Oryzias latipes: one gene and its partners. The protein of the gene in region 3 purifies or fractionates together with the protein of the main gene of each other region. This does not show direct contact. Links are inferred from orthologs where the notes say so. Each region holds a gene or a part of one and is shown on either strand. Other genes may lie near its edges.

Evidence for each region.
Region 1: the proteins of derl1 (region 3) and faf2 purify together in Homo sapiens (affinity purification with western blotting; 4 studies listed by BioGRID and IntAct, with this or other methods). This does not show direct contact. The link is inferred for Oryzias latipes from reciprocal best matches to the Homo sapiens genes DERL1 and FAF2.
Region 2: the proteins of derl1 (region 3) and tmem129 purify together in Homo sapiens (affinity purification with western blotting; 3 studies listed by BioGRID). This does not show direct contact. The link is inferred for Oryzias latipes from reciprocal best matches to the Homo sapiens genes DERL1 and TMEM129.
Region 4: the proteins of derl1 (region 3) and amfr purify together in Homo sapiens (affinity purification with western blotting; 4 studies listed by BioGRID, with this or other methods). This does not show direct contact. The link is inferred for Oryzias latipes from reciprocal best matches to the Homo sapiens genes DERL1 and AMFR.
Region 5: the proteins of derl1 (region 3) and rnf5 purify together in Homo sapiens (affinity purification with western blotting; 4 studies listed by BioGRID and IntAct, with this or other methods). This does not show direct contact. The link is inferred for Oryzias latipes from reciprocal best matches to the Homo sapiens genes DERL1 and RNF5.

The regions. Positions count from the first base shown.
Region 1 is NC_019868.2:20,361,152-20,366,086, forward strand, and holds the end of faf2 (FAS-associated factor 2), read right to left. Parts: intron 4,724-4,935; coding exon 4,546-4,723; intron 3,589-4,545; coding exon 3,417-3,588; intron 3,334-3,416; coding exon 3,190-3,333; intron 2,956-3,189; coding exon 2,773-2,955; 3' UTR 1,857-2,772; downstream 1-1,856. UniProt on the Homo sapiens protein: Plays an important role in endoplasmic reticulum-associated degradation (ERAD) that mediates ubiquitin-dependent degradation of misfolded endoplasmic reticulum proteins.
Region 2 is NC_019868.2:4,545,122-4,551,795, forward strand, and holds the start of tmem129 (E3 ubiquitin-protein ligase TM129), read right to left. Parts: upstream 4,209-6,674; 5' UTR 4,179-4,208; coding exon 3,953-4,178; intron 3,625-3,952; coding exon 3,566-3,624; intron 3,449-3,565; coding exon 3,191-3,448; intron 2,508-3,190; coding exon 2,347-2,507; intron 1,620-2,346; coding exon 1,460-1,619; intron 1,384-1,459; coding exon 1,311-1,383; intron 826-1,310; coding exon 641-825; 3' UTR 1-640. Other genes in the region: igbp1 (immunoglobulin-binding protein 1), read left to right, coding at 4,395-4,877.
Region 3 is NC_019874.2:1,272,740-1,279,286, reverse strand, and holds derl1 (derlin-1), read right to left. Parts: upstream 3,856-6,547; 5' UTR 3,672-3,855; coding exon 3,519-3,671; intron 2,423-3,518; coding exon 2,311-2,422; intron 2,241-2,310; coding exon 2,176-2,240; intron 1,809-2,175; coding exon 1,782-1,808; intron 1,693-1,781; coding exon 1,597-1,692; intron 1,510-1,596; coding exon 1,457-1,509; intron 1,369-1,456; coding exon 1,258-1,368; intron 951-1,257; coding exon 806-950; 3' UTR 363-805; downstream 1-362. UniProt on the Homo sapiens protein: Functional component of endoplasmic reticulum-associated degradation (ERAD) for misfolded lumenal proteins. Forms homotetramers which encircle a large channel traversing the endoplasmic reticulum (ER) membrane.
Region 4 is NC_019861.2:26,262,826-26,269,581, forward strand, and holds the start of amfr (E3 ubiquitin-protein ligase AMFR), read right to left. Parts: upstream 4,076-6,756; 5' UTR 3,901-4,075; intron 3,416-3,900; 5' UTR 3,398-3,415; coding exon 3,143-3,397; intron 572-3,142; coding exon 479-571; intron 357-478; coding exon 192-356; intron 1-191. Other genes in the region: leukotriene B4 receptor 1, read left to right, coding at 6,409-6,756. UniProt on the Homo sapiens protein: E3 ubiquitin-protein ligase that mediates the polyubiquitination of lysine and cysteine residues on target proteins, such as CD3D, CYP3A4, CFTR, INSIG1, SOAT2/ACAT2 and APOB for proteasomal degradation.
Region 5 is NC_019869.2:5,398,094-5,402,940, reverse strand, and holds the end of rnf5 (E3 ubiquitin-protein ligase RNF5), read right to left. Parts: intron 4,644-4,847; coding exon 4,532-4,643; intron 3,675-4,531; coding exon 3,565-3,674; 3' UTR 2,164-3,564; downstream 1-2,163. Other genes in the region: slc44a4 (choline transporter-like protein 4), read left to right, coding at 772-866, 960-1,044, 1,117-1,217. UniProt on the Homo sapiens protein: Membrane-bound E3 ubiquitin-protein ligase that mediates ubiquitination of target proteins. May function together with E2 ubiquitin-conjugating enzymes UBE2D1/UBCH5A and UBE2D2/UBC4.

The DNA of each region.
Region 1 (4,935 bases), on a different chromosome or scaffold from region 3:
TCCTTGGATCATAAATGATTTACTGTAGTTGATTATGATATTCTGTTTTGTCTGAGATAGTAGAATATTACACCACTTAAAGACAGGCATGCAGGAAAAAAAATAAGAAAAAAGAAATCAGCAAATATTCCAAAAAAAAAAAAGCAATGTAAACAGCAGCTCATTTACAAGTGTATTATTCAAGCCTGTTTGACTTTTGTTCATGTACTCATATGGTCAGACATGGCGGTTGTGATCTCATCTCTAAACGCGCCACGGTGCACACTATCCTACCTAATTTACTCCTAAATCGACTTCAGAGGTATTTGCATGTCTTAAAAGAGGGGGAAAAAAATAACAAATAGAGAAAAAAAAAGTGTGATATAGTTGAGGAAAAATCTCCAAATCTGGTGGGAAACATATTTAACGGTGCACAATATGCATGCTTGTCGACCAGATCCCAACTGATTTTTAGCTTTAGTTTGCTTTGGGTTCTGGGGGTTTGGATCTTACCGCTCAGCTGAATAACTGCCATGCATTGTACTGCACACATTTGTAATAGAACTGAATGACTACAAGATTTTATTGTGCTGACTTCATTTTATAAAGAGGGGGAAATAAAAGAAAAAAAAATATTCTTGAATCCAGAAATTCTTACATACGTTGTGTTACTGTTCTTGCCCTGACGACTGAAAATGACATGCTCTGAAAAACTACTGTAGTTGATCCAAAAGCCATAGTGAAAAGGTGCTAGATGTTCTGCTTTTAGGTATGGAAATCTCACTTGCGTGAATGCAATAGTTTGCCATGGATCTCATGTATTCTTGAAGCATGTTATATCAATACCCCTAAACAATGTCAGTGAAAATCAATATAGTTTAAGGGATTTAAGAGAAAAAAAATGAAGAAAAAAAAACAGGAAAAAAAGTGTTGTTATACTTATTTCAGTGTAGTACTGTACCTGCCTATCAGGCTCTTGCTCTGAGTGTATCAATATCTTAAAATGTATTGTTCACATATAGATACCTTAATTCATGTTAATGTTAGCACTATTCTTTTGGAATAAATATTTGACAATGTCCAGCTACCCTGTTAAATATAAAGAACTTTCCATTAAGGCCTAGTTAATGAGCTAATTTTTGCGTGGAAAATGAAAATAGAGTCTTGTAGTCTTTCTGTTAAGACTTAATAAAATCACCGTTTGTGTGGTGCAAAACTTTTCCAATAAGCAGCTAAAGGTTTATTTAGGATTGGTGATTGACTGCGCTGTAGATGCCATTTCTTGTTTACCAATGAGTTCCTTTCACTGTGGTGGGACGGTGGTTTTATCGTGGACTCTCCTCGGCCTTCAGGGGTCCTCGCCTGAACACCAGACTAACCCCCCGCCCACCCACCCAGCAGAGCCAGGGGCATGTGTTCTGTGTTAGACTGATTTTTTTTTTTTTTTTTTTTTTTGCTTTGGTACTTGCACATTTAAAGTTACCTCATATGTTTTTTTTCTTTTCTCAATGTATTGGGGGTGGGGTGGGGGGGAGAAAACAACTAATATATATTATATATAGGAAATGGTTCTTTGTTATCATTTTTTCATTCCATCGGAATCATTGTTTGTAGCATTTAACATAACTGGTTAGTGTATTATATATACATCTGTATACTGTTTGAAATTTTTAAGATTTGTACTTTTTTTAAATTAAAGTTGCTAGTTATGCTTTACCAAGTAGTGCAATCATATTTTTTTTAATTATTGTGGCTGATTTGAGAGGGTTGTTCACTAATAAATGTATGATGTATACCAATACCGCTCGTGTCATTTGACTTTGCCCTCATCTAAACGACATATTACACACACACAAAAATCTGAATCATAACCAAGCTTTTTTTTTGTTTAAATGTTTAATTTATATTTGGAAAAGTACAACTTTACAAGAGCCCATTCAGATGTTACAGGCAAAACAGGCATCTATGAGAAACCACAGGCACACTATGGGCAGACTTGAACTATACTAGATAAAGCCACATGGAAAAACTGTGGCTTTTGTGTTAAATATTTTACGTTAGAACTTCTTGAGCTTGAGGCAGTCTGCTTTATAGTGACAAACCTGCGTTTTGGTCATTTTATGACACAGAAGTCAAAAATAAAATAAGGTCAATTTGGAAACTTTAAATACATAACTTATGTACAGGTAATGGCTCATTGAAACAGGGTTCCCAAATCTTTAAATCGTGTCCACCGTCCTCCTGGAAGAGTTTCTTTCATCATAAAAATCGTTTACTTAAATGTTTCTTAATCAACAATAATAAATGGAAACTTTGGACAAAAAGGTGTCAATGTGGATGAACAGAAACAACTTTCATTTAACCATTGAAATGTATGCGATGCAGCAGCCTGTTAATGAGGAATAACACATGGTGGCTCATGGGAGTTGGCTCTGCTGCTACTTCAGCAGCTGATTAGTTCAATGCTGCAACACTGAATGAGAAGGAAGAACAAGAGTTAACCGGTATCTAGTACGGATGATAAAGAAGCTTTCTGCACAGAAACAAAGATGAGCTCGGGTAAGGACTTCCAAGAGATATATTTATTTGAAAAAATTCAAGACTTTCCAGGCTATTGGGAACCCTGTCAACCAAACAAGCACTGAATGCAGGGGTGGTTCAACTCTCCAGGTCAAGCTCAATGATCCCTTATGCATAATGGCCATTTAACACAATATGAAAAAGAGGAGGGGAGGAAGATGAGTGGCTGTCAGAGGAGAAATCGGTTTCCACAGAGGGAGGTGGTACCATCTATCAATCGTCCGTAAGGTCTTGAACAAAAAGTACCTCCGAGCGGCTGAGCCCAGCCTCTTTTAGTGAGGGGGGGTTGGGTTGTTCTTCAGTGGGGAGGCAGGGCAAGACTCGACGAGGGAAGTTTGTGACTATCTGAAACTTCTCTGGCGTTTCTTTCAAAGAGAACAGGAAGTCGTGTATTACCTGTGGAAGATAAATCAGTCAATCATAGATGCATCAGCGTACGTGTAAGGTGCTTCTGGAAAAACATTATTTATTGGGGAAAAACTCAATGCTTTTTAGAGTTTTACTTAAGCTATCTCTAACATAACTTTGTTTAAAACCTTTTTAAAAATCAAAGTTAGTTAAACCAAAGAAGAAAATCTTAATGCATTTTAGAATTCACCAAACAGAAATCTGATTTCAACCGTTACTGACCGTCAGAGATTGGCCAAACAGGAATCGCCGTTCCACCCGTGTGTCATTGGGCAGCTTGAACACTATTTTGACACTTTCTGGATCATCTGCAGGAGGCTCCAATGGAAGACATTCAGACTTCCTCTCCTTCTCCTCCTCCAGGTTCTGAAATCCAAAAGCGTGCCATTTAATTGAGAACGTTTTACATGGCGAGAACATTGTTCTTATCTAAAGAAAGCAATAGTCACCCTCCGTCTCCGCTCCTCAGCAAGAGCACTCTGCCGGACCTTCTCTTCCTCTTGCCTTCGCTGCTCCAGCTCCTCCCTTTTCTTTCTCTCCTTTTCCTGGTCGGCACGGAGGGAGACGAGATAAGCCTCGTCTTGCTGCTGCCTCAAAACTTGGGTCTGGTTTCTCTCCTCACTATAAACCAAAATATTTATTTAAGTTAATTAATAAAATTAATTAAAAATTAATTAAATTAATTAAATTAATTAATTAAAAATTAATATGTGTTGTTTATTATCCCAGTAAATGCTTATTAAACACGGAGTATATAGGTATTTAAAGCAACGATAAGACCATTATAAAACGACTTTGATGATGATTTGAACGTGATGTCTAACTCACAAGAGGAGAGACCTGGCTTCAGACACGATGCCACCTGACACCATCAGCCAGGAGCAGAAATTATACAACTTACTCTAACCCAAAAGTGTTCAGAAATGTGTTAAAAAAGAGAAAAAGAACTTATATAAAACCATAAAAAACAAAAACCATAACTGTTGCAGTCCCCCTATATCGAGCGATATGCGGGGACTTATGGGTCTAGTTAAGGACCACCTGACCCTCTTTGTTAACTTTTTGCACAGAAACTGAATGAAAAATCTCACATTTTCTCTAATTCTCAAATTTTCTTTTTCATATCGTGTTAAATGAAAATGAATTTCACAGTACACGTCTATTTTGGTAGCATTAACCGATACCATGTGGTGGTTTTAACCCAGAAGATCTACACCACAACTTTCTATAATAAAAGCAACCATTTCTTTTAGAACATTGAGCTTCAACAGAAACGTCATCCAACTCTCTATAAATGTCCATGTTGCAACTAAAACGTCATCTCAACTCCAACTGTTGTTTAGTGGCTGTGCATTAGTGTGCAGTGCCTGTCTGCACCGCTTTGACTCACATGAGCATCACACATTTTACAATGAGTTTAATGTGCTTAATGCACATTAAATAAAATAAGAAAAAGGCTTTAACCCACATATTTGTTTCAGATCGTTGATACACTAGTGATCAATTTAATTTTTAAGATCAAATATAAACAAAATCGATTTCCTGTTAAGATATTAAAAAAGATCCCGTTTCACACACCGTTCAAGGCGCTCTGACATCAGATATGTTTGGTTGGCATCCATGATGAAGGTGAGCTGATTGATGAAGTCTTCTGGCTGAATGAGACCCTCCAGTCTGCCCACCACAGTCATCCTGCGGTCCTTGAGCATGATCATGGCCAGGAATGGATAGGTGTTCTCCCGCAAAGCTTGGGACACTTCAACCACAACATTCAAACCAGACACTCAAGTACTTTTGTTGGAGCAGAAGCGGGATGCTACTAATTCATAATAAAACATTTTCCTTTTGGATATATTTGTGCCACTCCAAGGTCTGAGTTAAATGGCTATGCAGATTTAATAAGCTATATTTTTTTATAAATTAAAAATATTTAAGATAAAAAGCAGCATCTTTGAAATTATTATATAA
Region 2 (6,674 bases), on a different chromosome or scaffold from region 3:
AGGCTGAAATCCCACAGAAATCCTCTATAGGACAGACAAATGTTCATATTCATTTGAAATTACTGTTTAGAGAAATGGGGGTCATTCCCAAAGGATGCTTTGGCTTTAAGTGTTAAAATCATATGTGTGTCATGTGTAACGCTCCATAACAGGACTTAACCTGTGTGCACACATCAGAGTGCACATCAACCTGACAGCCTTATAAGCGCTGATGGCAGCAGCTCTGGTTCTGATGGAGCTGTACGTGACAAAGGAACCTGTCTGAGAAGGGGTAATCAGCCTGTTTGGATCAGAACTTGATCCAATTGTCAGGTTCTGAAGTCATAAATTACAATTGCAGTCTTTGTGCTCACATGCACGACTCTGGATGGAGAATCCTCACAATGCTCGGGTCGGAACCTCCAGTCCAAAGAGTTCCTGAACATTTTAGTTCCTTCAGGTCGGTCAGTCCAGAAACTCACTGATGGAGAAGATCAGAATCGTACAAGCTAAGTCACAGTGGTACCACAGCGGTCAGGAAGTTCTAATTGTCTTTGTCAGAATGCGGCAGTTGAAGCTCAAACTCCAAAAACAGATTCACGTCACTTGGACCATCATCAGAACGGGCCCGATCCACTCCCCTGAGTGACAGGTTCAGCTATTAATGGACCATACAAATGTCCAGAATGCAGAACTTGGATCTACAGGTTGGGCAGGGGACTTTGCTGGACAGCCAGGTCTCGGGTCTCTGCTGGTCTTGGCGGCTGGCGAACCACCGGCCCAAACACATCAGGCACCACATGGGCCTGCAGAAGCACTGCTGGCACTCGACCTCCTGATCCGGTCCTGAAATGCATTAAAAAACACAGTCACACAGTGTCACAGGCACTGACTGCCAGGACCAACCCTGCCCCAAAGGTCCAGAACCAGGACTACAGCACAGCTACAACCGTAGTTCTGGTCCAGGATTCAAATTCCCAGTGAATAGAAGCAGAGCCCATACGGGTTCCATACGGGGACGGCCGTGGTGCAGCGGATTGCAGGTTCGAGTCCCGCCCTTCCATGTGTGGAAGTGTCCCTGGGCAAGACAGTGAACCCCACCTTGCCTCTGGTGGAAGGTTGGGGCCAGTGTTCGGCAGTGGAGGCGCCACCAGAGTGTGAATGTGTGTGAATGAGCCAATGGGTTTGTGACTGTAAAGCGCTTTGAGACTGTGGGGAAGCTAGAAAGCGCTGTACAAGTACACGCCAAGGTCATCTACTGGTCAATATGATCACAGAAGCATTCTGGGCTCTGGTTTTAACTGCACAGGCACACTGGTGCATGCACTCACCTGCAGTCTGGCACAGCCTGACCAATTTGATTCCGGCAGGAACCTGCATGCAGCCGATGCAGGATTCCAGCTCCTAAAGATCAAAGAGAACAGGTGTCACTCACAGTTCTAGCGTTCACCTAGAGCCTTTTTTTTTTATACCTGCATACCTGTCCTGCTGGAAGCCTGTAGACCTGGTTAAGTTCCACCTGAGCTCTGAAGGTCTCCAGGAAGAGCTCACTTATAGTTTGGTGAATCACCACATTGGGAGAAACTCTGATAGGAGCATGGAGCTTCTCCCTGAAGTCTGCATAATCAGAGGAGTTGACCCTGAGAACACAAAAGGGACTTGAACTGTTTGCTCCTGCTCTGTCAAGAGGAAGAACTTTGAGCTGAAAGTGGCCATGGCGAAGCAGAGCCTCCCTCTGAGGTTCCCTGCTCAGCTGCAGACAAAACAAACCCTGGTGGACTAGCTCAGAACCTCAACCAGGGCTTGGGGCCAAAAATGAACCATGCCCTTCAATCTCAGAGACTCTTATGTCCTCTGCTCTGATTCGTCTTGTTGAGGGGAGGAGGTTGAAGTGACAGGGTAAAGGGTGGGGGCTCTGTGGGGGTCTGTTCCTGATTCACAATAATTTGAATCAAGAAACACAAAGATATGTAGGGTTAATGTTAGTGTATTCAATTTTCAGACAAACGCTACAAAAACATGTCAAAAACAGAGTGAATCTTTAAAATTGTTCATCTGTTTTCAAAGTGGATAAAGTCACATATCAGGTATTGATGGAAAATAAATATAAAATAAAGGATCAGACTTTTGTTATACTGTGGAAACAAGGACATCATTCTGAAAAACTTTTGTGTTTTTTTGCATTTCGGGCAGTTAAAAGTTTGTATAAACCAACCAAGCTGGTTTTCCTTTCTTCTTTTGTGCATCCGTTCTCCTGCTTATTACTTTCAACCACTGAAACAATCAGCTGCAGCCTGCAGAGTGCAGCCTCTGCAGATCCACCACGACCAGCTGACCTGAGATCAGGGTTTGAGCACCCAGCTGTACCTGATGGTGAAGGCTTTGACAGCAGGGTTGATGCTGTCCACCCTCAGGGTCAGGATCTCCACAGGGGAGCCAGAATCAGGACTCAGTTGGTGCCGTCTGGACTGCGTCACGGTCACATGACACTCGCTCTGCAGGGCCACATGGACGTGGTAGGTGGTCACCTGGAGAAAAAGCAGAACCGTGAACCATCCGTGTGTTAATACAGGTCAGAGACCACCAGTCTGAGTATATCAAGCGTATCTGAAAAAAATCCCAAAGTGCTTAACAATACAAGTCGAATGAACATATCATTTGTTTAAAAGATGAAATATAGAATTGGGAAATTTCATCAATAGAAAAATGCCATTCCTGCTGAAATAAAGTCCTCTTTAGGTGGATTTTAAAAGCCTCAGTTAGACAGGACAGAGGCAGTGCATTCCAGGGTTTAGGAGCCATCACTTGGAGCATTTGATGCACTGAGATTCGAGAACTTTTTAGAGGGACAACCTCAGGATCTAAGAGCACAAGACGGTTTGTTGAAGGAGCTCAAATGTTTTAAAATAAACTTCTGCATCCAGATGCTGGACTGGACAGACGAGCCAAGAGAATCACTGTGTTGTCTGATCAGAGGGATCTTCTTCTCTGGACCAATGATTAATGTTTCTTTCTCATTGGAACTCAGCTGAAGAAGATGTAACCACCAAATGTGCAAATCAAAGGGCTGGATGAAGAGGACAAACTAAACAAAATATCCAACCAGAACTCAGCGTGACTGCAGCTTTCCAAGCTTTCTTCTTCACGAGAAGTCCTCCAGAGCTCCATGCTTTCAGCACGCGGCTCTGCAGACCTGAAGTGGAGCGCTCACCTTCAACACCCAGCTGTCCGTCACGATGACGCTGGCTCCAGGAACGCCAGTGGCAAACTTGTCTATCCGCCTGAACTCTGTGTTGATGCTACTTGCCATGGCGCCCCATCTGGAGTTGGGGGCACGCGCATGGGCCTGCAGCGCCCGGCTGATGGGGTGGTTGTGCCAGTGACGGCGGGACCAGTAGATGACCAACGCCAAGCTGAGGAAGTGCAGGCACAGAGAGAGCAACAGGAAGATCCTCCAGCTGCCGCTCACCTGCGGGGACCCCCACAACTCCATCAGAACCATCAGAACAGAACCTCTGCAGCAGCAGGGAGCAGCCCAGTCTCAGTCAAGTGACATGTGAAGCAAAGGCGTGGAATCAGAACCAACCTGATGGATGAGCGCCAGGTTCTTCTCTGGAGCTGCCACACACATGCCCAGGTAATAACCTGCAGAGAAGACAGCAGGAACATCATGAGAGGCCTGTGAGGAGGGGGGAGAATAGAAACAAAAAGTAGATTCAGTGAAGGGGAGGTTTATTGTGCTTGTGCCCAAAAGAAGACACCAAAGCGCAGAGAAGTGACCTGAAGTTCTGACCATCTTTGTCTGCAGAGAACAGGAGAACAGAGGAAAGGTTCTGAAGGTTCTGCTTTGCTAGTTCAGACTCCAAGTTCAAGATAAGACGGGTTTCTTTAAGCTCTAGGAGTCCTTTACAAAGTGCATGTGTGTGTGATTCACGCGTTTCTGGTCATGAGTGTGTTTGAGAGAGAGACTGACCCAGAGGCAGTGCTGAGTGCACAAGCGCGGTCACGCTCGTCCTCTTTACGTGGTACTGGATGAAGCCGACGTCCTCGCTCCCGAGCCATGACGCAAACACGTTCTGGACCGTGAGCCCGGCCGCGCGGAACTCGTTCGGGGTGAAGACGAAGCAGAACGCGAGGACCACGTAAGCCAGCGTGAAGGACAGTTCTGGGCTTTCCATGATCGAACTGGACCAGAACATCCGGGTCCGAGAACGCCTACCGGCGCTTCCGCATCCTGCCCCTCTTCCTCTGCCGGTAAACAGGAGACGCACTCCCGCCCCCTGCAGGTCAGCTGTTGTAAAGCAGTAAACAAACAAACAAACGGTTGACGTCACAATTGTGCGCGGTGCGGCCCTGGACAGTGATTGGTCCTTCCCGCCAAAGCAATCAGACGTCAGAGAAGAGGACGCTCAAAGATGGCGGACAGCGGGCCCAGCAGCGTAGCCGGACCTCCAGTGGACCCAGATTCGAAGAATCTAAAGCTGCCGGAGCTGTTGGAGCTCGGTTGGAAGATCTACGAGGAGGTGGACAACACGAACGAGCCCCTCAACTCCAGCAGCGTGCAGGCCCGGGTGAGGCGCGGTGTCAGCGCGCTGGAGGAGGCGGCGGCCATGGTGGCGCAGCTGGAGCTCTTCAGCCGCAACGAGGACCTGGAGGAAGTGGCCACGGCCGACCTCAGGTTCCTGCTGCTGCCCGCGCTGCTCGGAGCGCTGCAGCTGAAGCTGAGCGACCGTGCCCGGCGGCTGCAGCACCTCTGCTCCGCCAGGGAGCTCTTTCTGGACTTCCTCCGGAGGTGTAAAGACTACGGCCTCTGCAAAGCCGACCTGCCCGAACCCGGCGAGGCCGACAGTCCAGAAGAAGCAGAGTCTGAGCCCGGACGCGATGGCCCAGGAGCGCCGGTAAGCAGAGAGGCGCCTCCGTTTTATAACCACGCATGTCCAAAGTCCGGCCCGTGGGCCAAATGCGCCCACTTTGAAATTCCCACCGGCCCCCATGGCTTTGTCCTCAATTTTTTTTTATTATTGATTCAGAACAAAGGTGACATACAGCAAAAAAACAAGGAACGTTTTGTCCTCAAATTTCTTCCAGCACTTTCTGTCTGTACAATTTGTTGATTGTGATTGGTCAAATTCCGTTATCAGCTGCTCTAAAACCATCATAACACTGTCATACAGTCCTTCTGGGACGTTTTATAGACCATTTAAATACCTACTTAAGTCTGTGCAAACATTTTGGACGCTAGATTAGACATTAGTTAGATCAGTCTGTCTGACCATTGCTGACACACACACACACACACACCCACACACACACTCTAGAGCAGCAGTTTTCAACTTAACCCACGGACCGGTATGACGTCAGACAACATTTTCACGGAGTCTTTAAGATGTAGCAACGATGAAAAAGGACAAGATGATCATTGAGCTTTTATTTTGACATGCATGTCATTGTGCATCGCACAGGTGTCATCATCCTCTCCCCTTCCCTCACTCATGGTGCAAAAAGAAGTACTGTCTGTAATGTAGCTTTCTTTTGTTGGAAGTGGAAGGCTCCTCTTCTGTCTCCTGGCTGGGCCTTTTCCCTTTGGCAAAGAAACTTTCCAGTAATGTTTTTTTTTTACTCATTTTGCTAGATCCTGGGTTTTTTTATTTTATTTTACTCTTAACCAAAATGAATAAAAAACAAACATCTTTGGAAAGTTTCTTTGCCAAGTGGAAAAGGCCCAGCCAGGAGACAGAAGAGGAGCCTTCCATTTCCAAAAAAAGAAAGCTACATTTATTAGACAGTATCAGGAGTCCTACTTTATATACGGATTTATCCCAACGGGAGATTCCCTCCAACCATTCAGCATTGTTGTGGTGAGTCGGATTTTCCATGCACTTATTTTTGTTATAATAATAGCGACCAGGGAGTGTTGCGGGCAGAGAGGACGTTGCTCACGTCATAATTCGTGTTTATTGTTATGTTTAGAAAATACCACAGTTTTCATGCAGGTCATATCATATTACTTTGTTGTACTGTAGTGTCCGTCATGTGATCGTTTGGTCTGCTGTCGGAGTTCCTCAGGGTGCAGGGGTTACTGTCGGAGCTGGCATCACAGGGAATTAAATCAATCCCCTTTGCCTGCTTTGGTCAAAATAGGGTTAAGCACGGATGTTTCTTTTTGCCTACGTGTCCTTTCATCTGGCAGTTACGTTGTTCCACCCTTAGTTATTTCTTCCTGTTGTGTTTACTTCTTTTTAGCACCATGAGTGTGGGAAGGGGAGAGGATGATGACACCTGTGCGATGTACAATGTTTAGCGTGTCAAAATGAAAGGGCAGAGTACGTCTTATCACGTGTCTCTGCCTTTATTGCAGCGTTGCTGCAGCGTGTGTCCGCCACATATAACAAACCGGTCCGTGAGAATTTTGCCAGACATCGAACCGGTCCGTGGCGCAATAAAGGTTGGGGACCGCTGGTCTAGAGCAGTGTTTTTCAACCAGTGTGCCGCGGCACACTAGTGTGCCGTGGGAGATGGTCAAGTGTGCCGTGGAAAATTGCCTTCATTTACTGATCTAAAAACATTTCCCCTCTCCAGGAAATCAGCTCTTTGTTCATCCAAACAGGTCCTGATAAAACACTGAGTAGTTAGGAATATAAACGATCATAAAATACTTTTTTCTTTGTGTTTATTTGATTCTATTAAAGACATTT
Region 3 (6,547 bases):
TTGATCCATTCACACATTCCTCCTCTAACCCTGCCCGGCTGAAATACTTTCATTTATGTGAACAACATGCACATCCATCTCTGCAGAAGTTTGGATGTTAGTTTTCGTGACACTGCCAAGGCCGGCTGTAAGATGACGTCAGGAAATGGGCGGTACCCACGCAGAGAAAAAGAGATCGAGTCATCTTACTTCCGTTTGGAAAACAGCTCAGAAAAATAACTAATATTTAATAAATAATGCATTCTTTTGTGTGCCATACGAGATATATTATCAGATATTATACATGGATATTGTTTCCTCTAAAAGGCTTGAGAATAGCAAATGCCCTTAAATGAAATGAAGACTTTCAGAAGGACAAGTCCTCATCTTTCAAAAAAAGTTTTATTTACAATAAAGAGCGAGGATCCATCCATCTGTTTACAACAGGAGAAAAGCCAGCCGTGTCATCATTTCACATCCGTGAAAACCGACCCAGAGATGGCGCTCTGAAGCAGGACGGCCTCCCAGTGCATGAAGAAATTCTAATGAAATCAAATATGGCGTCAGAGAGAGAAAAACAACACGTCTTCCTGACTGACAGGCAGGAGCAGAGTGGCGTTAAACATTCTGCTCCACGCTGCTGCAGCATCTTCACTCGGAGAACAGAGTCCTGCTGCACTTCCTGGTCTTTTTTAGCCTAAACCTGACTTAAAGTCAATTTAAAGTTGATCATTTGATTTTCTTGAAATAAAACAAGGGGGTGAGAAACGGTTTAGTCCAAAACATCGGCCGCCCAGCCGTTTGTTGCTGACAGTTCAGGACTCCCTCAATCTTCCCCCAGACGAAAGCCCTGCCCCCAGTTGTGTCGGCCCCCCGCCCCTCCGCCAGCGGGGTCCTGGGCAGCTGGTCGTCTGCTGGGGGGAGCTCCGAAGCCCGACACGCCTCCTCTCCTGTTGGGGAAGAACCGATACCTGGAAAAAAAGAGAGCGCTGTCAGATGTACCTCTAAAAACCTGCACCAGCCGCTCCCACCCAGGACAACGAGCGGGTCCTCCCATTCATTTGTACCAGAGTGAGGAACAGCCCCCCCCCCCCCGGAAGAGTCTGGGCTGCAAGGCTAACACACACTTTCTCCACTGAGCTTCAGCAAAACTCTTTCATTTGTAATGCACATCATCATCCATCTTTGGAAACGTTTGGATGCGGTTGTGCCGGCGTGTGACATCAGAACCACGTTGGTGTGTAAGAAAACGCCAACTTCTGTCGCTTTAAAACTTACAAGAACTCCGGCGTCGACAGAAAAGAGCGTCCCCCTAGATCCATGGGGTATTTGAACATGAGGAAGAAGAAGAGGTGGCCCACCAGGTTTCCCGTCAGTTCGTTCATAAAACTGCAGACAGGGACACATAAGGGGGAGGGGTTGGAGGGGTCCTGCTGGAACACAGCACTCTACACTTCAGAGGGACATCTTTACTCACGAGCCTCCAATAATGAAGTTGAAGGCCAGGATGACCCAGGGTAGATAATAGGCCTGAAAGAGAGCAGTGATGGTTGTTTATCGCCTTCATCACGGTTTGTTGTCACTGTGATCATGAAAGCATCTTCTCGACCCACCCACCTTAAACCGCGTTCCAAACCAGAAGGAAACAATGGTGTCTTTGTTGAACTGAGCCCAGACGTACAGAACCGACATGATGAGCGGGATCATGAGCAGCTGAAACAAGACGTGAAACGCGGTCAGAACCTCTGAACACGCCATGCAGACGTGACAGAAACATCATGCCAGCTGCAGAGGATCCTCACCTGCATGTTCATGAGCAACCCAGTTATCTGCAGAAGCAGTCAAGAAAAACAAGTTCATCTGGATAAAACATGCTGTAAGCCTCACTCTGACTCTAAAAGCTCAACACAAATTCAGAAAATGACCAGCAGAACCAAACAGAAAGTTTGATAAAAGCCCAAGACATCAGTAAATATAGGAGCTGTGAGCAGCACTGAGCTTCTGCATGTGACCTCTGTTCTGCAGGGTGGACTGACACCGGTCTGCTGGCACAGGGCCACCTTGACAGAGGAAGAGGAGCCGGGTCCAGGAACGAAGGACGAAGGAGAGGCAGGCGGTGCCGCTGAGTGAAGCAGGGGCGGACGGAGCCGTAGGTTGTAATTTATGACTCAGCTTTGAATGGTGGTCAAAGGATACAACAATGCAGATCCAGTTGAAGAGAAGCATGAACACGTAGTCTGCAGGTCTGCCATCAAAGGCCCCTACCACGGAAAAGGACATGATTAATGATGAGGACGTAGGAAAAGGAAAACAGCAAAGCAGAAAGCTCACCTGTCTCCAGCCGAGTGGAGTAATGATAAAGGAAGTACAGGTTAACAAGGTAAAGAAAGCCGGTATTGGGGGTTATTGGAAAATAAAAGGTGGCTGTGATCGGTCTCCAGATCTGAAACATAAAGCAGAAGGGATTTTAAGTATATAGGTTTGCTGCAGCACTTGTGAGTTCACTTCATTTTAACCAAGCAGGACAGTACAGCTCCTGAAGAACAACCTAGAACTACACCTAGAGAAGCCAGAACCCTGACTCCACTTCTCTAAAGTCTGATGGGGCTTCACAACACTGCATCGTACTCTGATGTGCTGCTTTTAGCTGCTTGGCCATGAAAACTTGAAGCCCACATGAGGTTTGGAGGTCTGTAGGGCTGAAAAACGTTGGTGACCTCTGGGCACTAAAGGTCTCAGCATTCACACAGACATGAAAGTCAATGAATTAAACTGTTTGGATGGGTAGGTGAATACTTTTGGCAACGTTACCCATGTTTGTGTGTTTCTGAGAATCTTTTTTGCCTTAAACAAAAGAGCCTCTAAGCAATTTTGAAAGTTAATGCTAGTTTAAAAGACACAGGAAAAGCTTAATTAAAAGAATTGGCGGTAAATTTTGTTTTAGCCAAAAATAAAACTACCAAAAAATGTATTCTTACATACTTTGTACATTTGAAAAACAAATTTGAAAGAGCAGATTTGGTTATTTTGCCGTGAACAGTATCTAATATTACATTTAGATATCTTCTCTTTTCTTAACATCTGAATAAATTTGTTTTAAACTGCTTTAAAAAAAACTTAAAGCCAACAGAAACAGTTATTTGAACTTACCTGAGATGTTAAAGTCCTTTATTTTGAAATTTTGTCTCTCTCTAGTGGAGTATGTCAGTATTGCATTCAAATAAATAACTTTTACGGTACCAAATGCGACACTAAACTGTTGATTGTCACTTGAACAGAAAACAAAACCTACTTATTTGCATTTATAATTTATAAAAATGTTTGCCGTTTGTTCATTCCGTATTCAGAGCACTATTTCCGGAAGATCTCCCCTCCAACGTCGCGGCCTCTGATTGGCTGCGCTCTAATGGAGGCCTGCGCCTGTTAGCCATCTGCTAACTAACTGACATCCAAAACACAGTAAAACGCCCTTTGAAACACAAAATTAACGAAGTAATACAACAACGCGTGCAAAGGGATCCATTTGACGAAACACTTACATGGAATCTGCTGAAAACCAGCTCTGGGAAGAGTAAGAGGTTTCTGAAATCGATCAAGCCTAGCTTCCCGATAAAAGGAACAGCTATGGAAGCAGCAAACCAAGACCGGGTGATGAACGGGATGCTCCTGAACCAGTCCCCGATGTCCGACATCCTTCCATAAGACTTCTGATGACTTCAAGTTCTGAAAAAAGCTTTCTCACTGGGGAATTTTAATAACTAACTTAAAAACGACGAGGCTGCTGTCTTACACCACAACCCATCCACTGCTAAGTTTACATGACGTGGCTAAGCACCGGTAGCAACTCTTACGTGAGAGACCCTCACTTCCGCCGTGACCTTTCAAAATAAAATCTCAACGGACATACATATTGCTTTTGTGAAAATGCATTTGAAATTTTTCAAATGCATGTTCTTAATAATTATGCAGCCAAAATAACAACAACAATTCGATTTAAAATGGTCCGTCAACTTACAAGGGGAAAGGTTTATTTTAATCTTGTTTTTGAAAGTATCTGGTCATGTCTTGGCCAGATTTTGTCTTGCAGACAAAGATAAACTTATAAATATTCAAAACTTTTTTTTAAAGTAGGCCTTGTAAAGGTTGAACCACCAATAACAAGTGTTTAGTTGAAAGCAGTATTTTTCATTTTTACTTTTAAGATTTCAGCTCTTACTGTGAAATTTGCATATTTCCAGTGTGGCCCCTGAAGGCCCGTACACACCGGGACGAATATTCGCCAGGCGTTATTCGGCAGCGTTTTTCACCACGTTTTTTGTGTTCACACCCAGGCGATTTTCGCTGACGATGAGCCGAGCGAACATGCAATTTCCTTCCCTGACATTAGATGGCGCTTAATTTAAACAGAAATACTCCTGTACACAAGGTGGCGCTGCGCTTCTTAAAGTCGCTTTTCACTCAGAAGAAGAGAGCAAGTATTTACGCGCTAGTCAGAATAATAAAAAGAAAACATGAATATTTCAAGCACCAGTAGCTCCAACTGGTGCTTGGTTCGGGGATATTTTAGAATGTCCGTCATTATTTCTTCGCGGCAGTGTAGACGCTACTTGGCGTCTATCTTCTTCGCTGGTATGTGTGCTCAGCAAGGCAGTTTTGTGTTTGAGCGCCCCCAAGTTGTGTTTTACTGTAACTTCAGAAGCTCCAGACACGAGTGCAAAAGCGCCATTTTCATTGGTCGAATAGATTTCGACGCGACGCGTCGAAAAAAACAAACAAACCCGAGGCGTTTTTTTTTTTGACGCTTTGACGCGTGGCGTTTTTTCGCGTCGGTGTGCACACTCTCACTGGTGCCCTTTGTTTAGTCACGAGGCGTTAAACGTGGGCGAAAATCGCCGGCGAAATTCGTCCCGGTGTGAACGGGCCTTTAGGCTGCAAAAACTGAGCAGACGTTCTAACTTTGCATTTTTAAAGTTTCACCCACCAACAGCCATCCGTGTGCTGTGACAGTCCACAAAAAGAAAGAAAAATGAAATCAAGAACTAGAAATGATTATTTTCCTTCATTTATTCATTTCATTCTTGTTTCATTGTTTATCTTGTTTCATCATTCCATTGTCATTGTATTATTTTTTACCTTGACATTGTGAATGGTGGTTGGGCCTTCTTGGATGGTGGTGGAAGGTGCTCTAGTAATGAATAAATTGATAATGATGAGTCAAACAAACAGTTTTCCTGCTGCAGTGTCACTTTTAAAACTCTTGGGCCATTTTTTTAACCCAATTCTCGGGTTATGCATGTTGGGATATATCATTGGGTTCTTTGAGAGCAATATTAAATTTTTTGGTTATAGTGGTTACATATTAACCCAATTTATGAATTATTTTCTTTGTTTTTCCAAGGTTAAAATAACCCAGAATCCATCCGGTTTATCTATGAGGACCACAGGAGATGACTGTGATGGCTCTATGACAGTGTTTTTCAACCAGTGTGCCGCGGCACACTAGTGTGCCGTGGGAGATGGTCAAGTGTGCCGTGTGAAATTGCCCTCATTAACTGATCTAAAAACATTTCCCATCTCCAGGATTCCAGCTCTGTGTTCATCCAAACAGGCCCTGATAAAACACTGAGGAGTTAGGAATATAAAAGATCGTAAAATACTTTTTCTTTGTGTTTATTTTATTTTATTAAAGACATTTTGATAAGAATGACGGCAGCGCGATTCAGCTGCAGCTCCGGCTGTATTTAGGAAAAGTCCCGCCCCTTTACCTGTCTCCACCAATCATTCTTGAAGGCTTAATCACATGTCATCAGTCTGACCAATCAGAAGTGGTTAAAGTCTTCACTTCCTTGTCCCGATTTAGCTCGTAAAGTCGCTCAGTTCTAACAAAAATACCAGCTAAAGCTCGTCTTTAGCGGTGTAGCTTTCCACAGAATCTGGTATCTACGGTGGCCCTGAAGTGCAAACCATTCAACAAATCACTCGATACAAAAACATTTTTAAGATCACAGCAACAATTTAAAAAGCGTATTACATTTTAGAAAACAAAACAAAATTTCAGAAACCAAAACATAAAAAAGAAAACAGAAAAAAAAGAAAAAAAGATTTCAGAAAAAAAAATTAATTTCCAGAAGAAAAAAAAAGAAATTTTGCAAAATGAAAACATTTCAGAAAAAAAAATAATTTCCAGAAAACAAAATGAAATAAAAAAAATGAAAAACATTTCAGAAAAAAAATGAAATATTAAAAAATGAAAAACATTTAAAAAAAAGAAAAAAAGAAAAACATTTCAGAAAAAAATGAAATATTAAAAAATGAAAAACATTTCAGAAAAAAAAATGAAATCTTCAAAAATGAAAAACATTTCCAAACCGGAAGAAGCAGGTACTATGGGACAACGCTGATTGGATGATGTTTGTCAATCATTTGAACTGAAAAGTATTTTAAATGAAGCGATGACGGATTTTATCGTCCAAACAACAATGTACTATAATAATCCACGTATTTACCATTTACATATTAAATCAAAAATGCAGCAAACAGATAATGAAGGTTTAAATTATTATTTGAA
Region 4 (6,756 bases), on a different chromosome or scaffold from region 3:
CATAAAAATCTCTTGCAGTTCAAATTCTGCTTTTTTGTTAAATAATTGTCAAGCTAACATCTTGAGTTTAATTGCATGGCAGCAATTAGATAAATATATAAAAAATATTTAGAACAAATTATTAAATGCCTCCACAAAAACAACAACAGCCAGGAAGAGTTGAAATTAAAATGTTCGCTCCCCATACTTACATATTCAAAGCGGTCTTTGCAAAGCTGCACCATGAGATGGAGAAAAACCAGAGCTGAGAACCACAAGCACCACATGACCACCTCCTCAACGGTTTGCACATTCAAGACTCCAAAGATGAAAATGAATTTGTAGAAGATAAAGTTCCAAAATTTGTCTTTGAGATGCTGCAGGGGATGAGAAAAGAAGGACAATATAATTATTTGTATTAGTGTCTGTTGAATGTCAGCTAAAACACTTTTAAAGAAACTAAACCCATTAGTTGAATTTAAGACAATTAAAAACTCACCTGCTTCTCACTGACTCGTAGAGGTCCAAAGACCACATACTGAATCATTTTTGCAATTAGCATCAAGGAGCAGCAGAATGTATTCACCAACACCTAGGAAATGGTATAAAGTAACAGTGAGTTTTGGTAGATGCACTCGTTATATTAGTAGGAGTGTAACCATTAATCAATTCATTGATGAATATTCCTATGATTCAACCAGATCCTTCTGTCAGAGGGAAGTTATGAATCATATCAACTTATAGTTTTTTAAAATCATTTCAGAATGAAATTAATTGATTACAATCGGTATTGGAAAATACCATTTGGATTAAGACACGGTAGGTTTATTTTACTAAAACGTAAAACCGATAAAGTGCATCACAGCGGACAACACACACAATGACAGCAAAAAATGATCAAGTCATCATTACAGTCCAATGTGTGGAAAAACTTGGAATTTTGCAAAGATATGTGACCATAGAGTGTGCTAGACTGTTTTAATAATGTTCAGTTTGGATTATTTTCATGTGGGAAAACAACAGTGGGCTGAACTTCATGAAACTAAAATTGCCATTGGATCTTGTTTTCTTGTATGTTTGTACACATATTTAATGTACAATTTCTGGTGTAACTTCCCCTGTACCATTCAGTACCCAGGTATTCATCTCTGAGTCACACTGGTTGAATTTTTGCCTAAAGATGTCCTAGCAGGTACTGCAAAGGGTGTCACTGTGCATGACGTTTGTACTGTGGCCGAGAGGTGTAAGACACATTTACATTTAAGATACAACAACAACAAATCCCGGTACAAACAAAGAAATACTGAAACACAACATCAAATCACGAAATACAACACCAAATCATGGAACAAATTACTGAGTCCTGAAACACAACAGCTGATCCGGGGGGAAATGACCAAATACAGAATTACAAAAAACAACCCTGTTACAATTGACCAAATCCAGAAACACAACAACAAAAGCAGGTCACGGCTTCTAACAGAAAAGACATAATATAAAACCAATTGACTATGATTTTTTTAAAGTTATTTATTACTGTTTTCTTTATGTGGACATTTTAATTACACGAAACATTCCAAAAGCATTTTTTAAATTGTGTTACTACAATACAAAATAAAAAAATGTTTAGTAAGGTAAAGTTTTTGCGTCACATCTGGTAGTAATGGTATTCCCTTTCCGTTGGCAGCTGCTCGCTTTCGTTCATTTTTTTCTCCTTCTTCTGAAGTCGTGTTTTGCACTAGTGCAAGCTTAATGGAAAGGGAATACCATTATTACCGGAAGTGCAGCAAAAACTTTACCTTGCTAACACATTGTTGTAATTTGTATTGTAGTAATAAAATTTAAAAAAATGCTTTTGGATTGTTTCATGTATTGAAAATGTCCACTTTAAAAAAAACAGTGATAAAGAAATGTAAAAAATCATACATAATTAGTTATGTATTACGTCACTTCCGGGATTCAGGATGTTAGAAGCCGTTTCTCCACTTTCCTTGTTGTGTTTCTGCATTTGTTCGTTTGTACCGAGATTGTTTTTTTGATTTGGTATTTGGTAATTTATACCCGGATTTGCTTTTGGGTTTCAGGACTCTGTAATTTCTTCAGTGATTTGCTTTTGTGTTTCAGTATTTGTTCATTTGTTCCAAAATTGTTTTTAGTGCTTCATGATTTGTTTGTTTGTTCCAGGATTTGTTAATGGTTGTATCTCAAATGTAAATGTGTCTTGCAGCTCTCGGCCATCATATGTTTGCGCATGTTTGCTTCACCGTTGAAGAACTTTGTTTCCGCGTTGGAAAATGTACAGCGATGAAATACCCTTCACTGTGTGTACTGGGATAGCTTATACTTTGATTTTGATTTGAAACAAGGTAGAGTGGACTTAGCGGACATTTGTGAGAAAATGGCAGCTTTCTCATGGCTTTGGATCATGAGTCATGGATAGTGAAAAGGCACAAGATAAATTAGGTCCCAAAAACCACCCGCCAACACATCATCAAGGAACCTTGATGAACCGCGCGAGGTTCGTCGTTGCGGACCCAAGTCTCACAAGTCGCATCGTGACAAACAATGTTAAAGAGCGCGGTAACAAACGGTCACAGGTTCAAGTCCCTAATACAGAATAATAAACCGCACTCAGCAGAGGTAAAGTATGCAATAGTATACATTGAATGATCTTCTGAAAAATATTCAACATTGCTGAATCCCTTGAATAATGTCCTGTGACAGATTGATGGTGTTTAGAGCACAGATAGAGAAGCTGTGGCATCGAAAGAGACATTAAAAAAAAAAAAAAACTTGATATATCTATACATGATTACCGGGTTTTCCCATTGTTTTCCGCAAAACAAAGGTGATCAGCAAGACGTAATATAATAATAACTTAATTTGAGGTCTATTGGGCCATTTCATTTATTTCTGTGTTCAGAATTGGAAGCTCTACCATTTGTGGTCACCAACTTTCGTCACTGGACCTTAGAAAATTGTGGCTTGTGTTCCCTAGTCCTCGACTCATTTTAGGTCAGTGAATCGAATCATATCAGACCATTAAAAATGAATCAATATTGAGTATTAAGAAACCACAAATTAGGATATGAATCAGACCATTGTTAAAATGAATTGTCACACCCCTACATTAGTCTAACGTTTTAAAGTGAGTGAAACTTACCCACACAAACAGACTGTCGGTCACAAGATACCACAGGATCGTTGTTGCCAGTTCTGAGTTACTGACAGCATTGCTTAGGTGTTCAAGATCGACGTGGGAGGGAGCAGGTGTATCGTCCGGTTCCAAGGCCCCAAAGCCGGGGTCTGTCACCGTAGGGTAGGCACTGAAGATGCTCCCAGCGAGTAAAGCCACACTCAATACTGTGTAAGTCTGCAAACTGGGCCACGGAAACCTCTCCAGAAACATTAGAGGCATTGCAGTGGGTGCAGTAGTCTTCAACGAAAAAAGGAAGAAAAAAAAGTCTGTTAACAAACAACACACATCTGGATTAGCCAATGTTGGCCTGACTTTAAACAGCTAAACAGATTATGTAATCAATGGGGTTTGCAATTTGAGGGCGATACCAATTCACCAATACTGGCAAGTTTAAAATAATAATCATTAGTAAAATTATATGAATATAAAATCTAAAGCAATAAAATGCTAATACAGACTAACGCAGGAAGTGGCTAACCCCCATAAGCTTCTTTAATTAAAAAAAATATATCAAGTTCGTTCGGTTTTTTGTCTTTGGGTGTATTTTAATAAATAATCAAACCAAAAATATTCAAATAGAATAATTAAAGTGAGTTAACATGTCCAGTGTTAGTAATTCACCTAGCTAACGTTACCTAATACTAGCTAGTTTGTTAGCCAATCTTTGCTGCGAAGCTAAAACCAATCGCCGAACTGCGGCTTTGTGTCTAGACTCCACTTACAGTTCCTTACAGACAACGTTTGACCCAATATCCCGGGTAATGTCCTAATCACTGGACCGAGTTTTAGTGCAGCTGCACGAAGAAGATCATAGAGGACGACAACATCGTCATGTTTACGCCACCGAGCAGAGCGACAGGCTGAACGGCTGACTCGCGAGCTGCTTCTTCTTGGTTGCGCAGGGAAACTACGTCATCGTGGCTGTTTAAAGGCATCGCCATTCAAATCATATTTCACACGATTTCACACGATTTCGCTGCTACCTACTCACTTCACACACTTAAAATATCATTTACCTTTGCTGCTATCAGCTGCACGAATCCACTTGTAATGTGTTATTTAAAATGTGCTATAAACCACGAAGACAGGAACGGGTAGTTTCTAGAACAAAGAAGAAAAGTCGCGACTCATTCGGGAGAGCAGGAGACGTCGTTTCTTTGGAAATTCACCCCTAATGACAGCAGGGTAGACGTTTATGCATGTAATGATGAGACCAATCAGATTAGATAGATTTTTTTCAAAGTAATAAATATGTATTTATACATAAAAACTCACTTCACAATGTTAGGAAATTAGTGTTTGGTAGATAATTCGATATAACACCAGCCCTTTAAAAAATGATCATATATTAGAACCATACATTTGTATTTTTAAAAAGTTTTTTTTTTTTTATGGGCAGCAGAGCAGATTGAGTTGCATCAATAAAGAATTTGCCCAATTTTTTAAACCAATGACACACGTCTTAAATGTATGACGTCATTGCCTCAGTTTTACATTTGTGAAACCTTCAGGTGGCCTTTACTGTAATTGAATACGTTTGGAATGCTAGCTTTGGTTATTGCAGCTGATGTCCTTTTTGATTCCTTGATGTTTTGTTTTGACAATTTGAAGGATCAGCTTGGGGCTGTTGTAGTACCAGCACAACCAGGCTGCCAGCCCATGGTAGACTAATGTGATGGCATCCCAAAGCAGTGTGTGACCAGAAGAGGTCCAAGGCTATTGTGGATGTGTTTAGCTCTTCCACATATTATAAACCCAATAACCCACAGACAGCGTAATCACTATTTCCAGCTAAAAAAAAAGTACGTTTAGAGTCAAAGTAGTTTAATTCATGGCGTCAATGGGGTTTGTCAATATAAAAATAAATTGCCAAATTGCTCATATTTTTTGTTTATTCAAACTTCAAACACTCAAAGATTTAATTTTAGAATAATGTTTTTGGTGCTGGGAGAGAAGATTTTGCACATTTATCACAAGTTTATTATAAAGTAACTCAATTTAAAAGGATAGTAAATAAAATTTAACACAGTAAGTTTTTTTTTTTAAGATGCATTATAACAATACATCCTGTAACAAACACATTTCCTTTTTTTCCTTTTACAATAAAAATAAATAAAACTATCTACCTAAACAGAAATTCGTGCATACGAATACAAACTTCAGAGTCAGGTAATATCTATTAATATTGAACAAACTGTGTAATAAAACAAACGTACCAATTGTTGAGTGAAGAAGAAGAAAAAAAGCTGTTTTATAATAAAGTCATGACAGAATTCCAGGTACCGATTGCTTTCATGTTCCAGCTTTCACTCTTCATTAACATATATTTTATATTAATATTTATTTATATATTTTGTAAAATCAAAAATTAGGAACTAGATCATGATGAAGGGTAACGACAGATAAGATAGAATAAACTTGAAACTTCATAGCCAGATGTTAATTATTAGCTACTCTAAAAGAGGACAGAAATGAAGTTGCAGTCCAAAGTTAACATTTATGGGAGTGTTGTAACAGATTCAAATTCAGAAAAAAAAAAGAAGTTACTTTGCTTTGGATTTTCTTTCATCCCTGAGCTGGACTTTTGGTGAAGTGTAACTTCAGGTAATCTGTTTTCTTCTACTTGAGTGTTTCTAGATCTGTCAGTGCCATGGGAGATTGCACTTTCACTCACATTTCAGCTTTTTTGCTATTGATCGGCACATCTCACGGGACACGGTGATCAAAGAAAAAGCACTGTATGTTCTCGTTGCCTTGAAAAATCAACGATTTTATACATTCTAAGTTATGATTATGAAACAAGTTAGTGAGATATAAGCATAGACAAAGTCATAATATGGATGTCTTTTCCTCCTTTTCTTTTTCAGCTTTTGCCTGGAATCCTGAATCAGTGGCCAAAACCAGCAGTCTCCTTCTCAAGATCTGGATCTTCATTTAACAGCAATCATTTCTGTTAGATAAGAGACATTTTTTCCCCACAGGATGTGGTTGGTACAACAACAAAAAAACAGGAGAAAAAAAACAAGAAAAAATATGTCTAAGCAATTTTACTAAAACACACAACATTGCAAATGCAACAACAGTAGCCATGTGATAATTGGGTCCTTGAAAATACATGGTTTCTGTTCAGTTTTCACAAAAAGGGAAGTGGAGTATTGTTTTTGGAGACGTTTAAATCATTTCTTAGTCAGACAGAAGAGAACGTTAGAAGTAGAATTCATTTTTGGAGGATGAATCCCTTCACTGTGGAATCCCCCACAGAGGCTCCTGAGGAGTATGGCACCGGGACTGCACTGGCATGCGTCATTCTGGGCCTGTCTTTTTTGATCGGAGTTCCAGGAAACCTGTTTGTGATTTGGACCATCCTGAGATCCATGAAGAAGCGTTCACACACGGTGATGCTCATCTTGCATCTTGCTGTTGCAGACACCGTGGTCCTCATCACCCTGCCTCTGTGGATTTACTCCATGGCGCACACCTGGGAGTTTGGAGAAGGAACCTGCAAAGCTTTGGTGTACTTCATCAGTACCTGCATGTACAGCAGCATCTTCTTCATCACTCTAATGAGTGTGGAACGT
Region 5 (4,847 bases), on a different chromosome or scaffold from region 3:
GATTTGGACAGCACTACAAAATGACCAACGCACTATGTAGTGAGTAGGGAAGGAATTCAAACACAAACCTGGGGATTTTTGCATTTTAACCACAATAAGTAAATAAAACAACTTTTCATTTAGGTGATCTTCTCGAAATTGCCCACACATCAGGCCAGGGTTATGTCAAAAATGCAGTTTTGTGGACCGCCATCTTGAATATTAAAAAAAACAAAAAACAAAGACCTGTAGTTCCAGCTACAAGTTCAGGGATCTTCTGACTCCTCGAGCATCATTTCGAAGCTACTGTCAGATTTAAATCGTTGGCTCAAGCTGAACGAAACTAAAAGACCTGCGACATGAACATAAATAAGGAATGGAATAAGGGCGTGGGTAACAAAACACCTCTGTTGCCAAGGAAACTCAAAACTATACTTTTGCCGATTCTTCTAAATGTGACAAAGACCCGTTCGTCATTACCAGGGGACCAAAAGAATTAATGGTTGCTATGGAGATAAAACAAACAGAAAATCTGCCATTTATTTTTTTCAACGAAGAAGGGGAGGGGCGGGGTGTAGCAGCTGCTCAGACGGGGTCAAAGGGGACAGCGTGCGGGTCACACAACGCCGCTCAACACCCTTTTTTGCTCATTCCTTAGTCCTGACCTGTTTTTTTTATTTAATGCATTTTCAGAATAAAAGTATTTTTTTAAATATAACATTTTTATAAGGACTAAAGTATCAGACAAAAAGAAATCCTTTCTCAGACAAACGTCCTCTTCTTTTCCTTCAGGCGTTTTGGCCTTCTTCTTTTTTTCTGGACGCATTCAAGCTCCAGGCAACTCGTTCAGCTCCCAAAACCTCAACTACTACTGGATGCCAATTATTGTAAGACACTAAATGTTCATTTCAGATTCCGATTACTTTTTTTTTTTTCCTAAACAAAATTACAATAACTCCATTTTCCTGGTTGTTCCTCAGACGGTGGTGTTCGGGAGCTACCTGGTAGCTCACGGCTTCTTCAGCGTCTACAGCATGTGTGTCGACACGCTCTTCCTCTGCTTCCGTAAGGTTTTCCTTTTTTCCGTGACGTTTCTCTGTCGATTCACATGGTTAACAAGTTCTGTGGCTCTTCCAGTGGAGGACCTGGAGCGTAACGATGGATCCATCCAGAAGCCTTACTATATGTCCAAAAGCCTCATGAAGATTCTCAATAAATCCAACAAGGCCGCCAAATAGAAGAGACGACAGAAGAACTGAAGGTCACGATAAAACACAGAAACCACTTTTTATGGAAGATTTTGTAGCTTTTACCTTTTTAACACTAGTCTACTGTAAAGATGTTGAAATGGATTTGCTAATTTTGCACATTTCGTCTTGTTGCATGTGCATCAATATTCTTGTAAACGTGAAAAAAATAATTTCATTAGAGAAAAAAACTTTTTTTTTTAAATATTCACTGAAATTTAACTGAGATAAATATAACAGATATAGACTGACATGTAATCAAAGCTTTAGCAGCTCAGTTTTGTTAAAAAATTTAGTTTTTTAATATATTTTTAAAAATGTAATTTATAAAAGGTTTACATGTTTCATTTGGAAATTTGTGAATAAAGTTTTAATTCTTAAAGCTTTATTGTTCTGACTGCAGCACCATACTGTTTTTGCATTTCTTCTTTCTTACTGTACGTCTGACCAAAAATGTCGCCCCCGTCCCAAACTCAAAAACCAAAATTTGTACACAACTCTGACCCAGAGAGATGAGTTTGGGACAAGGTAACCTTCCTCGAAAAAACGATAACATCACAGCATGAGGATCAGAAACATAACCTGAATGGGCAAAAATCTCTCAAAAATGTTTTAAGATCCACTAATGAAACCAAAACACGTGTTGGAGATGTTCAAAGGGAGTTTTGACATTATTATGGGATGGGTACTGGGCCTACGGCAATGCTGCCTTTTTGTGGCAATGCGTGAACAAGTTTACATTTTATGGACAACTAAAAAGTAAAATAGTTGCTATGGAGATAAAACAAACAAAAGTCACTATTTAAAAAAAAGGCTTTTTTTAAAATTCCGAATGGCAGGTTTAAAAGGGGGACGTCGGGCAGCTCCTGCTTGCTGTTTCATCAAATTTCAATTGTGTTTTGTGATCAAACGTTTGGAAAAAAAAAGACAAAATGACTTTGGTTAATTCAAGTTTTAATCTGAGACCATTGGGTTTTGTACAACAGTCCTTAAGCCAACACGGTAATTTAGCGTCACGTTAAACCACTTTCCTATCAAACGCAGCTAAACCCATCAGAAACATCAGAGTCCAAGCAGATTGTTTGTGTCCGTCCCGCAGCGGGACATGAAATGAAAAGTGTTTTCAGTCCAACTTCCAGGTGAAAGATCTCCAGATCTGCACATTTCAGGGACGATGAGTCTGGACGGTGGAGCTGCAGGGTCCCCTGGAGGCATTCATGGAGAACAATGGAAGATCTGACTAAAACATCTGGTTTTCAAAGCACGACTAGAGTCACAAACATCTAAGGACTTCATGGGCTGGTTTGGTCTGTAGATGGCAGTCAGCACTCAGAGCAATGGCATCTAGAGAGGAAACCAGCAAATAGTCCATTCCTGGCTACGCATGTGACCCACATCCCCTTTGAATGAGCAGGAATTCACCTTTAGAGTGAAAGGCAGTCAAACTTTTAATCTTTCATCAGAATTTACAGGTTAGACATTTAAGTACCCGAGTAACACGTATGACGAGAGTATTCCAGGAAGTAGACAGTTTGAACACTTCACAGTCGCACATCTTCTCCAGGGCTCTCCCATCCAGTCACAGCATGTACAATATTTATATATACAAATATATACTGTATGCACACATACGCACTCACAAAAATCCACAAGTGTTTCGCAATCCTGTAGCTTTGGAAAAGGGGGCGGTGCCGGTCGAGCGAGCCGTCACTCAAATCTCGGAAATATCTATAGTGGTTTCTGAGGATTCTCTCTGCCGGTCGTGGCGTTCTGGCCAAGTCGGTTATGCAATTCGTGGGAGGCGAAGCTCTGACTTTTAGTTAGTCTGAAGAGGAAGGTCGGCTCCGCCTTCAGGGCGGCTCCGCCTTCAGGCGACCTCCACCAGGAGAAACGGGTTAAGACAAATGTTTGGAGGAGGCTCCCATGGAGACTGAACAGGAACTTGGCTGCACTCCTAACCCCCCACCCCCCATGGCCAATCCACATCTGCCCACAGAGCCCCCCCCTCCTCTAAATAAAGAGGAGTTGGTAATCTGATGAATGAAGTGACCTCATCCATCTGATCATTCGGATTATGTAATACTGAATCTGAACGCCAAACCCAAACATTTCCACTTCCTAAAATGTTTTGTGAGCCCAGACGACCGCCACGACCGATTTCTGGGGTTCCACGTCGCCAGGCATAAAAAAAACGACGAGCAGGCGGGGGCTTGTGCTGCGGCGACGTGACTACGGGAGGAGGAACCTGTCCAGGTGTGTGTGTGTGTGTTCATGTGTGTTGCTGCACTCCTCCCTCCCCGTTTCCGATTTCGGTAAAACCACCTCCTCTCCAGGTCAGTCACACGCTCAGCAGCCAGAAGAAGAAGAAGATGGCCACGAACAGGAAGAGCGAGTCCTGCCAGCTGTTGTTGCCGTTCCCGTTACCTTGGTGATCACCTGCATACTGGTCTAAAGGTAAACAAGAAAGAAAAGACTTTCAAATTGAAGTAGTGAGTTTAAAAAAAATCTAAATTTGGATTTATTTTAGGCAAGAAAAATTCCACATTTAATGTAATGAATCCCCAAACTTTTTCAGACATTTCTGCAGACCGTCCTGTACGAGGCCGACATGGGCGTCTGATTTGAGTTTTTTTGTTTCTCTGAACTTTTGAGACAGAAGTTTATCTTCATTCTCTGTAAAATATTGATTTGTTCACTTGATTTCCTGTAGGAACCATTAAAATGTGAAATAAAGTTTAAGCCGTGACCATAAAAGCAGAAGACGCCAACTTCAGCCTCTTCTGACTTTTAAGATGAGACGGAAAAATACAAAAAACAATCGTGAAAACTGGATTTTTAAAAAAATATAATCTTAACGAGAATCCACTGTTTGAAGAACTTTATTAGCAGCATCCTTATAACATTAGACAGCTGGTTGACGATTATTCTGCATTATTATTATGGTCTGTGGGACCAACTGTCACAATAAATCCATATTTGGAGTAAAGACTCCTTCCTGGTTGTTGTCTGTTGAAAGCAGATTTATTTTATTTTGAAGGGGAAGGCTCTTCAGTTTCCTCTCTGGATCTTTCCACATAACTTTCTTTTTCGTTAACTTTGCTAGCTTGAAGGTTTTAATTTAGCAGTCGGTGCGGCCGCTTTAACAAAGTAGCTGATGCATTTTCGACATGAGACAGAGAGACTGGTGGAGAGAAACTGGTCGTTTTTCAAAATAAAACTTCCTTCAGAATCAGATTCGAAATAAAACTGGATAAAAGGTTGGTTGTGGTTTTTTTTTCCTCTTTGATTAGGGGACCGCTGTGTACCTGCTCTGTGGAAGGGGTCGTTGGCGTTGAAGACTGTCGTGAAAAAGCCGAAGGGGAAAGCGCCGATGCCAAACGACATGTGGAAACCGGTATCCCCGAAGCCCTGGAACATCTGAGCGCAAAGACAAACCCGACAGTCAAAAGCTACAACAGCTGGAGGAACATCTGACCTGAAATTATGAAGGAAAGTCATGTGAAGGAACATTTAGAGGCTGCTTTAGGTTTTGCGTCACACGTTTGTGGGGATTTTGTGGTTAAAAGGGTATTTTCGTGTTGCATAAAAGGTAAAAATCTGAGAGGGGAGTACAAACGGAAA